2 linked regions of the Drosophila melanogaster genome follow. The gene in region 1 interacts genetically with each later gene. Each region holds a gene or a part of one and is shown on either strand. Other genes may lie near its edges.

Region 1 (6,619 bases):
AATACACTTTGTATGCCAGTGAAAATGTTCGTTGGGCATTTTCCTTTGGGTAAAAGTGTGTGTTCTCATTGTTTTCCGGCCAAGTTGTACTTTGAACGGTCCAAAAAGAAAAGCGGGAGCCAGAAGGTCACGTTGAACTAACTGGGAAGACTTTGCAACCAAATTAAAGAAAATGTGTAGATAAAAACACCAAAAAATTATTAAAAGTAACTTTTTGGTTCTCTACTTTACATTTACTGCATTACATTTAATACTACATTTAAGTAATAAGGCCAAAATTGATAATTAAATACTCCATCCTTACTTCATTATCAAAATAATATTTCCATTGACAGATTCATTTCCCCCTTTCCATTCGCGGTTCATTGGCAATTAATATTACGGCACCCACCTACCAGGCAATTGCAAGCCCATATATATATGTGTATATATATAAATATGTATCTATATACATTATATAGTAGTTTCTTATCAGTCGATTGCAGAGCGGTTATGTCAGTGCTCCGTCGAGTGTTCAAGTTTTGTTTACAGCCCCACATTGTGGCCTATATCGGGCAGACAACTTTGTTCTGTGGGGGCTGACAAACTGACAAACTAACTAACTGACTAACTGACTAACTGACAGACTGACTAGCCGACTTAGCGACTAACTGACCAGCTGGCTAACTGCCCAACTGACTAAGCGACTGACTGACTTACTGACTAACTGATAAACTGCATTTTCCACTTGCCGCCTTAACTGGCAGTTCGATACTCGATCGCTTCTCGTTCGGGCCACATTGCGCATACGCCGCGTAATCCGATAGAACAGTAGCCGGTGTGTGCGAGTGCCGCTGAGTGTGAAACTCTTTGACAATGCCCGTCAAGGTGTCAAAGCTTCAAACCGCATTCAGCCAGCGAAGACTACGTAAATCAAGATGTTAGTTCATAAATTCGATTCTCAGTGTGCTGCTCATCTATGTGTGCGTGCTGTGTGTGTGTGCTTATATGTATGTAATGTGTGTGTTCGCGTGTGTGTTTGTTTGTTTGTAAATTATTTAATAGCTTGATTGACAACCGTGAGCTAAGTCGATATCCGACCATAAGGTCTCAGCTCTTCGATGCTTCAACTGGCGATGCTTTTTCGATGCCTTGGCGAGATCTTGCGGTAGGCCCGATTCTGATTGTTTGCTGTTCCGAGATGTTTCTAATGTAACTGTCAATCATAAATTAGATGCCAATCAAAAGCAAATCACAACAGCAGCAAAAACAGCAGCCACCAGCGCAAAATTGCCTGCATTCATTTAAATGGCAAATGGCAAATGGCGAACGGCAAACGCACACAGAAAGACATCAAATGAAACAGAAGCGGCAAAGTGACGGCTTTTGACTGCATAACAGGCCAGAAAGTATGCGCACACTGAGAGAAAATTCTCTTTTCTTGATTTCGAAAAACAGTTCGGAGACGTTGAAGATCAATATTGGTGTGTTTCATTAGTTTAAACAGCCAAAACAGCTGAAAAGTAAGTTTTTTTTTCAATCTAGAAATATTTGCATTTTCCATAAATCGTACTGCCTAAAATATTTTTTCCTTTTGTAATTATTTGTTCAATGCAATTTCTTCAAGTGTACTACATAAATATGCACTTATGCGTGTGTGGTTGAGTACTATTTCACTGCAGTCACATGCAATTGATTTGATGGTCATCGAAGCCAGAAGGTCCAATCATTTGAGACATCTGTGTGAATCAGTTAGAAACAGTGGACAAATTAAAAGTGAATAGGTTGAAAGGAGACCAACTACTAAGTTCAAAGTTCTTAAAAAAATCTTAAAAGCATTAAATGAAATATAAGATTTCCGGGAAATTTGTGTGCGATTCGATTGAGTAATTTTCCGGAGGTTCCATCGTACGAAAGTTCACCATAGTTTGCGGCACTCAGAAAGCACCTAGATGATATTCCATTATTTATAAGCTGACTAACCCCCCATACAAACTGCCACCCTAGCAACAGAGATTCCGTGTAGCTCTTTCTCCCTTCGCCAGTCCACCCGTCCCACTCGCACTCGCACTATGTCTTTCTGTTTCTGTGCGAGAGCAGGCCAAAAATATCGCGTATACGTCATGTGTGCCGTGTGTGTGTCATGTGTGTGCGAATGTTTTGTTTGCCAGACAAAACAGCAGCACGTAAAGTGGCAGTAAAACCGCAGTTAGCCAACTGGCCAACATCGTTAAATTTTGGTCGTCTTCTTCTTGTTGTCGCGATCATCGAACGATCAAACAAACTCAAACGATCCGGCGATCGATTGTTTGATCAATTGATGGACGGAATGGGATTCGTGAGACAAGCTAAAGTTTGAACTAAGTGATGGAAGTTTTAGTTTAGCTTAATGATCGAAATAAAACACCATACAATCTTACTAACAGATTGTTGCTTAGCCATTTCAATGGTTGGTTATCATATCAGCGGCATGATAATGATGGATTTTCCGAGCGCAGTTAAACTCTTCATCACTGTCGCTAGATACTGCGAGTATCTGTCGACTTTCAAGCGATCGAGAGTACCTACACATACCTGGGCTGCGTCATCGAGTACGGTAATCTAGGTATTTACCCCCCGCCCCATTTCCTCTGTCACGCCCTCGATTTGAATCATGCTGCAAGTCGGCAACAATTGCCATTCGATTGGAATTGTAAATGGTTCGTTGTCGGTCGGTGTTGCTTTTTCTTTCTGTTGCCGGTTGCTATTGAAACGCTCTGGAAATTTCATCATTCGCCCGACCGCCCGATCGCCCGATCGCCCGATCGATCGATCGATCTATCTATCTATATATCTATGTATATATCTGTCTATCTATCCCAGCTATCCACCGATCTGCCCCCTTTGCCGTTCTGCAACTGGTCCGCATCGAATGTTCGATGTTCGATTGATTTTTCCCATTCTTTGTGATTACGTTTTTTCTTGTCTTGGTTTTTTTTTTTTTTTTTTTTTTAGGTCGCCCTTTTGGCGTCAGATTCGATCTAAACACAGTAATAATAAAAGAAATCATGCCCCATTCCTGGGTAATTGTCTCGTTTTTGGGGCGTGTGTCGCCTCGATCTCGACGATATTGGGTCGGAATCGGAATCGGAATGGAATTAGAATTGAAATTGGTCGATGACATTCCATTTCAATGCGATCATTAAAACCGAAAGTGACGGACTTATAATCCAGAGGGGCAAGAGCTTTCAGGTTGCAGGTACAGTGCGTTTCAGGATTGTATTGTTTGTTGAGACACTCTTATCATTACCTTCATCTGTTCTAGAGCTAGCATTTCGTTGCCAAGTCGCTGTGTGTTATTTAGTTATTGAAAGGGCAATAGAAGAATTCGGTTAAATAGTTATTGCTTCTCAAAACGGCCAGACTTAACATGCCGAAACGCAGTGTAGCAGTGCAATCACTATGAGTACTATTTAACGATTCACCCACGCCCATATGTGTGTGTCGATTAATGGCGATTTAAGCTGCAATTTCCACAACTAATAATCATGAGTGTAAAGTATAATTTCCGTTTCGGGCTTTCGGGCACTTTTCACGTTCCTCAATGGCAATTTAAGAGGTTCATTAAAAACCAATAACTACGACTGTAATTGCACCATTCCACAGACGCGCGCACATACATACGTTTCACAAGAAAAAAAAAATAGGGGCAACAATGAACAATGAAATAGAATATCGAGATATGGAAATATATGTTCTATATGTTCGTTTCGTTTATATGTATATGCGGACATATACATATGATTTATATGCAATACGTCGCCAAAAACGCGCGCGCAATTTTCGAAATGACTCCTGCGGGCTGGCAATCGTTATCGTTTGGATTGGTCATCGATTTCGGTGCGCGTTTCTCTAGCGTCGTTCGTTCGGTCGTCGCGATCTTTGACAAACTGAAGTTTTCAGCATATAATCATATAGACCTAGATCTAGACATAGCGGTTCGCTCTCTCACTCGATCTCCCTCTCTCTCTCTCTCTCTCTCTGGTGCCATCACTCTCCGCTCCCAATGTCGCCACCCACTCTCGCCGGCATCGCTCACCTTACCATCTCCCCCTTTCGCAAAATAGACATAGACAGCTCCAAGCGGACTCTCCTCTCCCTTCCTCTCCTTTCCTCTTCTTTCCTCTCCACGGCGGCGACAAATCGCTGTGTAGCCATGTGTATGTGTATGTGTAGCCACAGAAAGCCATTTCCAAGAGCATTACGTTAGGATCTAAGATATTACGACTTTCAGATACATTTGGTTCCGAGGGATATCTTTAGAACGCTTTTTTGGTAGCTTTATTAGAAACTAAAGGTGATTTATCATAATATCTCATCATATTCATTTTATTTGCAAACCCTTTTCAACTTTTCAGGATAAAAAAGTAATGAATAATGAATACTTTTGAGTTTTCTAATAATTAGGAACTTATTTTCACTTATAAGCTTTAAAAAACAGTTTAAAATAGTTTTATTACATAAGTAAAAAAAAATATATATTTTAAAGAAATCGCTTAATGCGTATATTTACAAAAGCTTCGTTCATGACCAATTACATTACTTCATTGTTTTTTTTTTCCCAGTGCAGCTTGGCATTTTAAAGGCTTTCGCTGTCTTCCCATGGAAGCCAAAAGCTTCTTGGCAGCCCAATCGTGCCCGGGATTGGCGGCTAGTGAGGCGTTTGGCCTCGCCCACTCGACTCGAGTACAGTGAAAACTAACCTAGGACAGCCCACAATGCCGTGGATGTGGCCAGGCGGAAGGAGCTGTATCCATTACGTTTCATGACGCTTGACGGCTAGAGATCAACACAAATATGCCGAATATTTTTGCGCCTTCGGTGCAGCGAACAAAACAACATTTGCTGACGTCACGACGGCGATGATCCATCAAAAAAAAAAAGTGCGGCGGGGCGAGGCAAACAACAACTAACTAACTGTTGGCCAAGTTATTTATTTTTGTTACTGCATTTTTGCCAACAAAGTGCTGTGGTGCTGGACGTCTAAAAATAGTCGTCACTAGCATAGCAAAGTTGTGTAGAACATTTTCACTGGCTCGATAATGTGTGTAACTATGAATACACACACTATCACAACGGTATCCAACCTTATGGACATGCCCAGTACCTCTACCATCTCTATACCCATAGTCGAGTGCTAACAATCTGGTTTCCCTTTCAATTCATATTCTGTCACGATCGAACGTCAAAGTCTCAGTCCCGACTTTTTGAATTTCTGTTTTTCTGAGTTTCTGAATTTCCAACTTACATATATATTTCGAAGCGATCGAGACTGCAACGTGATGGAAATTGGCGAGAAGCTCGAAAATGGCTGCGATTTCGATGGAAATTGGGCAATGCTCCGTTGGCACAAAAGTGCATTGAATAGAAATAAATATATTATAAATATTCATAATATATATAAAATGTGTCATAAGCTACTAATTGATTGTACTGAATATATTCAAAATCGCACTTCAAGCTTTCGAGACAAACTGGCATACTCTGTAAAAATATTATTATTATAATTTTGACATTGCTGATATAATTCTCCTCAGCTTGCTAAGAAATAGATGTTCAATAATTACATATGAAAATATTTTCAGGCACCATAAGATGTGCAAATATAAAAAGCAAATGACATATTTAATTGACAAAAAGGCTTCACCTTTTTTATATCAGTTTTTGCAATAAAATTTGCCCAATCCCTGCCACTTAGCTTGGCTAACAATTAGTAGATAAACCAGGTTGCTCGCACTGTTATCAAATTTGTTATTTACTAAATTAGCAACTCGGTTGGAATCTTCAGGGCCATACTAGCTAGCTGATATTGAAGCTGTTTTAGTTGTTTTGGCTTTTTGGCCAGCGGCTGACACGAGACGGGAATGACCCCATAAATATTTGCCTGGCAGCTCGCATTCGCTTAGCGCCAAATCAGCTGCAAATGCGGCGGCAATTAGTGCCTTTTGGCATGGGCGTTGGTCCAAGGGGGGCCACAATAGGAGGTGGGGGAAGAGGGGTGGGGCAATACAAAAGGGGGGCAAACAAGTTGGCAAGGTAAGCAAACAAGCCGGCGGAAAAGGAAACAAACAAAGAGCGACGGGCAAACAAACAGCACGCGATCATAAAGTCAGGGGCACGTGCGGGGCTTATCCTTATAAACAGATATACATATATATATATATATATATATTTCATTTATATATATAAATAGCGAATATAGCTACCTATAAATTGAACCCAGCACATGATGCAAATTCAATAAATAAATGCAATCCAAGCGAATGCAAATGTTTATGGCCACAGTTCGGCGGCAATGCTGTCAAAAAAAAAAAACAATATAAACACAATAAATCCGCAAAAAAGTTGAAAAAATAACAAGAACAAAAAAACACAGACGGGCTAAAAAAAAATAGAATTTTATCAGCGATCGCATAGAGGCGCGTGATCTTGCCAGAGAAAAATAGAAGAATAGAAGAAGTTGATTGTGTAGCCGCTGCTCTTTCCACTGCACGGCAAACATTTCATCAAAATGAGCTAAAAAAAAAGAAACAATAGTAGTTAATAACAAACAATGGCTAATTCTTGGCAAATTCGGATTACAGCACATCTTGAATGGTAA
Region 2 (6,508 bases), 3.6 Mb from region 1:
TTCCTCCGAAAGCTAAAAATGCTGAAAGGGCGTGGATCGTTGAACAGCAATGAAGGAAACCAGGTTTTTGACAATTTTTTTCTTTATATGAGAACCCTGGAAGGATGCCTTAAACATTTATAGCTATGCTACAAGCCACGCACAGTGGAAAAAAGAGGGGGAAAACTGGTTAAAATGAAGAAGTAGTTACATTTTTCATACTAAACCTCATTTACTTCTGATAAGTTGTACTAGGCAGTGAAAAGTTTTACCTTCTCAAATTTGTGTATTTTTTACACAAAAAGTCCTGATTATTCCCACTGTGCGTTGGTGCGAAAGTTGCGTATTTAACAAGATTTTTTTGGTCTGTGATTCATGGCTGACCTTCGAAAAACTAAAGTCAAGGGGGAATCAGCGTTCAAAGACCTCAAAAAGAAATGGTTTCGAAATCAGGCTTAAATTTAAAAACTTTTTTTTCTACCTGACAAATAGTTTGCGCAAATATCAGCATTTTTAAGCCACATAAATATGTGAAAATAACTGCTCAGTAGAAAAAAAATAAGCTTTTGCCAATATTTGGGTATTGTGGCTCATTAGAAAGGTGCCCCATATTGCCGATGTGACAACATCGGTTGGCGATGTTGATAATCAAACGCAAATCGCCAAGGGAATTTGTTATTTAGCGCACGTAAGAGGGCGCAATACCTAAATATATAACTACATACATATGTGAGTGGATGGATGGATGGATACCTGTAACTGTTGGCTAGTAAATCTACAAACGGTGAAATGTACAAACGCAATCACGTATTGCACGACGTGAACTTGTGAAACTTTTGAAGTAAGAATGTCACAAGCAAAGTGCCTTCCTTCAAGCCAACTTAAAACCCAACTCAAACACATTGTCGCAGAAGTCGTTCAACCACTGAGTCGTTCAGTCTCTCAGTCTTCCAGTCTTCCAGTCTTTCCGTCTCCGAGTCTTTGAGCATTTCAGTCTTTCGAGGCACTGCGTCTGTGAAACTTTCACTGCTCGACTCCAGCCGGCTGTCCATTTCTTTTCGCCCCTCCCTCCAAATGACCCAAAAGAGTTAGCCCCATTTTACTTGGCGGCCGAAGCAAACAAACAAACAGCAACACTAACAGAAACAGAAGAAACGGGCCATAAGGCAATTTATGTCTCACAGTAATTGGGATGTCTCTGCCCAAACTCTAATTGAAATCAACCCATTAACTGAAAGATCATTATTATGGACTTTGTATGGAAATAGAAATTCACATAAACTTTATCATGGCTAGAACTATTTGGCTATTCAGAGTTTGTACACATTTTCTAATCTTACTGATTGTTACATTCATTATGATTTTAAATGATTGCATTTCTCCAAAAATCCTCTTTCATTGAGAAGATTGATTATGGTATACAGATTCCGAAAGTTACCTTTACCAACTTTTTTTTGAAACTCAGAATTGTGTGTGTGTTTTTTTTTTTTTTTTGGTATGCTCTCTACCAGTTTGGCCTAAAACAGATTAATAAATTACCCGATGATTACATAAATCGAGTTTTTAATTAACTTGAAGCTGCATCTGGCGCTTTCCCAAGATCACAAAGAACGACTTGGACAAACGACGACTTGAGAAATTCTCAGCGTGGTGACCCCGTTTAGAGGTGATAATTGGAAAATATTACGAGTCTTATATATGTATTTAGATATAGATTGGGGTCAATACAACTGAATGTTTGTATGGGATGAACTTACTTTGGCCATTCCCAGCTGCGCACAGTGCAAGCAGCAGTAGCATAATGAGTGCCATTGCATTTGGAGGAGTCATGGCTCTTTTTGTTGCCCGTTGCAATGGATATGTGGATATGGATGTGGATGTGGATGTGGCCACGGATGCATCCACCGGTATGTTGCAGCAAAACATTGTGTCTGTCTGCTGGTGGCAGGTGTGTTGGTATTGTTGTTTCCAATGCCCGGGATGCTGATGTTGAAGTTGAAGTTGATGATTATAATGCCCGATGCCGTTCGTTGGCTGCCGATTAGCATTAGCTTTGGCTATATAGCTTTAGCTTTTGTTGTTTTCAGTTGGGGTGTTTTTTGTTGTTGTTGTTGTTGCGGCATCAGCAGCGATTAATTTATGCATACACTTGTCGATTATTCATATGTATATATATTTATCTCGCTATTTTTTTAATAATTTTTTGCTGTTTTAAAACTTGCACATAAACATAACACATAGATGGCGTGAGCGATCGTGATGCGTTCATTAAGGTTTCACTTTGCATTCACACTGAATTTCCACTGGCTAATTATGATGTTTTATGTATATTACATATAGCATTGGATACTGCATAAAATCAACCAAGGCGCATTGTAATAATCGTGATAATCACAAACATAGTATTCGTTGTCGGCCGTTGACTTCACCCTCACCTGTCCAATTCAACCGCTTTCCTAAGTTCCCATACCTCGCTAGCTAATATATACATATCCATATGTATGAATAACTATATAGATATAGATATATACACATCTACAGTCTGTCTGGCCGTCTGAGCGACTCAGTTCCATTCGATTGCTTCGATTGAAAAAGTAAAAGTAAACTTTAAATGGCTTCCCTTTTTGGGGGCTGCCCGGCTATGCCATGGGTATTCGAAAGAATAAGCCAGCCACAGACATTCGATGAAATATATGTATATATAGATACATTTACATATAGTAAAGTATGGTATGGTATGGTATGGATAAAAGAGAAACAAACGAAATCGCCCGAGGGCGAGTGCTGTGTTTTGGTGTTGCTTTCAAGGTTGCAACTACTACTACCAATCTATAAATCTATAAAAAAAAAAAAAAAAACAGAACCCACTGGGACTTGGTTTCACTTCGCCCCGGGGATATGGATCTGAAAACTTGAAACTGGGTACCATCCGGTACAACTTTCGTGCGAGAGCCAGGCCACTATCTTATATATGTATGTCAATATCTTTCACTAATTATCGGCTACTGTGGATATAGCCTCTGGTGGAGAATTAGGAAAGTTTCGGCTTGGGCACTCTAATTCGATTTTGGTTGGTGCTAATTTGAGTTGTGTGTGAAAGTACACGGTTTTTATTTTTTTTGGCTCGATTGAGAACTAGAAATATTGGGGCACACACACACACACACACAAGCACAACACTCGATCAGAAACATTCCCGATTTTATTATTTGCATATATAGTATGTGTATGTGCACATACGTACGTATAAATCGTGAACTGCTAACATTCATATCTCAGCCATGATTCAATATGACCGGATTTAGCCGTTTTTTCTGGGTGGGAGCTGTAAGACAAGCAAACTCACTGAATCTCTGACCAGTTCACACACAAAAAACAAACAAAAAAAAAAAAAAAGAAGAAAAGAAACACTATGAAAACCACTAAAACAAAAATATACACAAAACAGTAACCACACACAGGAAAAAAATAAAAATAAATATAAAAAATATAGAAAAAAAAAGGCGAAAAGAGCGCGGCTTGGGTTTGCGGCTGAATTGGATTGCCGAGGAAAATGGGAAAAATTAATGGCTATACCTATGAACGTGAACTTATTTCTCGTTTTGGGCGACCTGGCTGCATTTGCACGAGTTAACGCTGCTGCTGTTGCTGTTGCTACTGCAACGGCGAAACAAAAAACCGCCGCTTTCCGATGCGAAACTCCCAGCACGTCTGCTTGGAATGAAAGTTGGCTTATAACTGGTTTTAATGTCCCACAGAAGTTTGTAACGAACCACACTCCAAGCTGTATCAAGTATCAGTCTGCACCAAGCCGAATCCATCCGAACCAAGCCGAACTAACCCGAACCGAGCCGAGCCGAACCGAACCGAACCGACGCCATACGATCCCATGCGACACGAACTGCGCATGTGCAGCGACGACTCGCCAATGGAACCAACCATGGGATGAAAACAGGAGCTTTTACCATTTATAAGTTATTATTCCTATAAGGTCCTATATAGTTACAGAATTTTCTCCAGTACAATACTCCCGATATTTCCAAGGTTATACAGCTTTTGTTACCCATTTCAGTTGAACCACTTAATAAGCTGGCCAAAATGGAAAATACGCTCAGTAGCGCCCATTGTGCATGGTCACCAACATGAGGTTGATTGGTGGTAGGTTGTTTGCTTGGCTGACCGTTCGCCGCTTACACTTGACAAACAAAGACATTCTCAAAAGTTACTAGATTTTCGCAAAATAGTTAACACATTCTGGAACGGCAGAAAGTAAGCAGCTTGCAGATAACTTAGAAAACATTGTGGTTCTCCCACACTTTTCTTATCACTTCGATCCGAAAGCGAACTTTACAGTTATCCACTCAATCGGTTCTGAATCTAAAGTTATTTAATTGCACAAGTCTAGATGTAATTATATATGTAATATTTTATATATTATGCTTGCAACTTCTCTTTATTTTTGTAATTGTGCGCATTTTACAAGTGCTAACTAACATGTTTTGATGGAAGATCCTAATGCATATATTTTGGTTTTTATTGTGACTTTTTCTCGCAGTGTAGTAGCCTTATTTACCGCTCGACGAATGGCGGTTGCTTTTCGCTGGTCGCTTGGCTGTCTTTGCATTGTGGCGTCGTTGCCGACGCAACGCGAAACACAATATGCGCAATCGCAGAGCTTTACACAATTCGCTCGAGAGTCGATCCGATCCAAGCGTTCCATACGCTATATACTATACCTTCGCTGCCCCTTCAGCCCCCTCCACCGAGGCAGTTCATCCGATCCATCAAGGAAAACGCGCTTTTCCATATCCACCAGATGCTAGCCGCACCTTTCTTCAGGAATCTATCTATCTGTTGGAAAGAATCTTTTTAGAAAGTCCGTATTTGGATAGATTGATTGTTTAGAATTGTATATGGCGTATAAACTTATGATGCCAAAATGGCTAAGCTATAAAAAATTTTGGGTAAATTTCGCAATTAGCGGGGGCGAAAAGGCGCGTGACCAAAATCAGAAACAGTCTTTCTTTTGGCATCAAACAAGTTTTGCTAATTAATCTTGTGTCCCTTTTTGTTCTTAGAAATGTTGGCCTAATCATAAGTTTAATTATAAGTTTACTAACTCGAAAGCTCCATAAAATGGTTATTTTTAAACACAATTTAATATTCTATCACAAGAAAAGAATTATCTTAACTGAAAATCTTAGCTCCAGTAGTTATAATTTTTGGGAAAAGGGTATACAAACTTCGGCTTCCACGTTTTCAAAACTTCGCTGGCTAGTTGATTCCCAGCAAAGTAACCCAAGCCGAGTACACGTTAATGAAAGAAGTGCGACTTAAAACCCGTACTAAAACTGGATCATAATAGTAGCCGTATTCTGTTTTAATACCGATAATTGGCAATGCCCAACGTTCTAAGTCGCAAACTGTGGCAAATTGTACAAGTTAAAAAGGTGACGAACGGACTTTCGGATTTTATTTCTATAGTTGTCCTAATTCCAGGTTCAATATACCGCAATGACAAAGTGCTATTTTGGCAACAAAAAACGAAGCTCTGAAACTATAAAGAAAAATCTATAAACGAAACTGGCGATTATAGTTCAGCTAGCGGAAAAGGGAAGTCAAATTTCTCAGCTTTTTGTGGGAAGCGGAATTTTTGAAATCGCATATCTGTCAACGTAACATTTTCGATTCATTCTCAATCCAACATTGCGCATGATTAACAATTTATTATCATTATTCCGCAACATTTCGCAAAGTTGCATTGGTCCGTTGACCAGGCTTTGTCGTCATCTTCGACGTGAAAACAGTCCCCCTATTTTTTTTTCACCCATCTGACGTCAGTTTATGGTCTTTTGAGCCAGCAGCATTGCAATGCTTCAGTTGGCATATATTATTTAACATTTTTATGTAATGATATAACTAGATTAACTGCTAAATGCAAAGACAACTACAAAGCAATTCAGCGGTCTTGAAATCGAGGGCTAAACAAAAGAGTGGCCAACAAAACCTACCGTACTAACCATTTTAATCAACGTCTTAACGTCTTGCCAACTTGAATAAGAGCTTTTTATTGCTGAACCGTCCAAACCGAAAGCTTAGTATAATCAAGCTTGCGAATATCGGCTAATATATACGCAAATCCAGTTAAATGGCAAATTAGTGTTAGGTGAAATTTATCTACAAGTTACATTTCGAACACAGAACTAACGAAATACTTATGATCTATCTATGGTAAAATATTATACAAATTTAAATGTTGGCAAAACCTGGACATCTTAGGCTTGTTCTATAAACTAATAGATACTATAATTATATTATATTCATATATCTTATGAAATGCTATACATTTTATAACAAGCCAATTTTCTCAATGTTTAAATATATGGGTTCAAAAGTTTTCAGTTCATTATCAATGTAAATGGTGTGATAAAAAACGCAATTAGGCGATAATTTCATGATAATTTCATGAGCGTTATAAAATAACACAAGACCATAATTGCAGAAAATTTTTATATTTTCCAATTTTAAA

What was found. Genes that interact genetically often act in the same process or in processes that back each other up.
Region 2: of sog (region 1) and fw, changing one enhances a phenotype caused by changing the other (phenotypic enhancement), as found in Drosophila melanogaster (one study listed by BioGRID).

What each region holds. Positions count from the first base shown.
Region 1 is NC_004354.4:15,629,541-15,636,159, forward strand, and holds the start of sog (short gastrulation), read right to left. Parts: upstream 3,895-6,619; 5' UTR 3,269-3,894; intron 1-3,268. UniProt on the Drosophila melanogaster protein: Putative negative growth factor. Antagonist of dpp, a protein involved in patterning the dorsal region and in the development of the neuroectoderm; dpp inhibition is enhanced by tsg.
Region 2 is NC_004354.4:12,000,192-12,006,699, forward strand, and holds the start of fw (furrowed), read right to left. Parts: upstream 3,724-6,508; 5' UTR 3,556-3,723; intron 2,329-3,555; 5' UTR 1,906-2,328; coding exon 1,737-1,905; intron 1-1,736.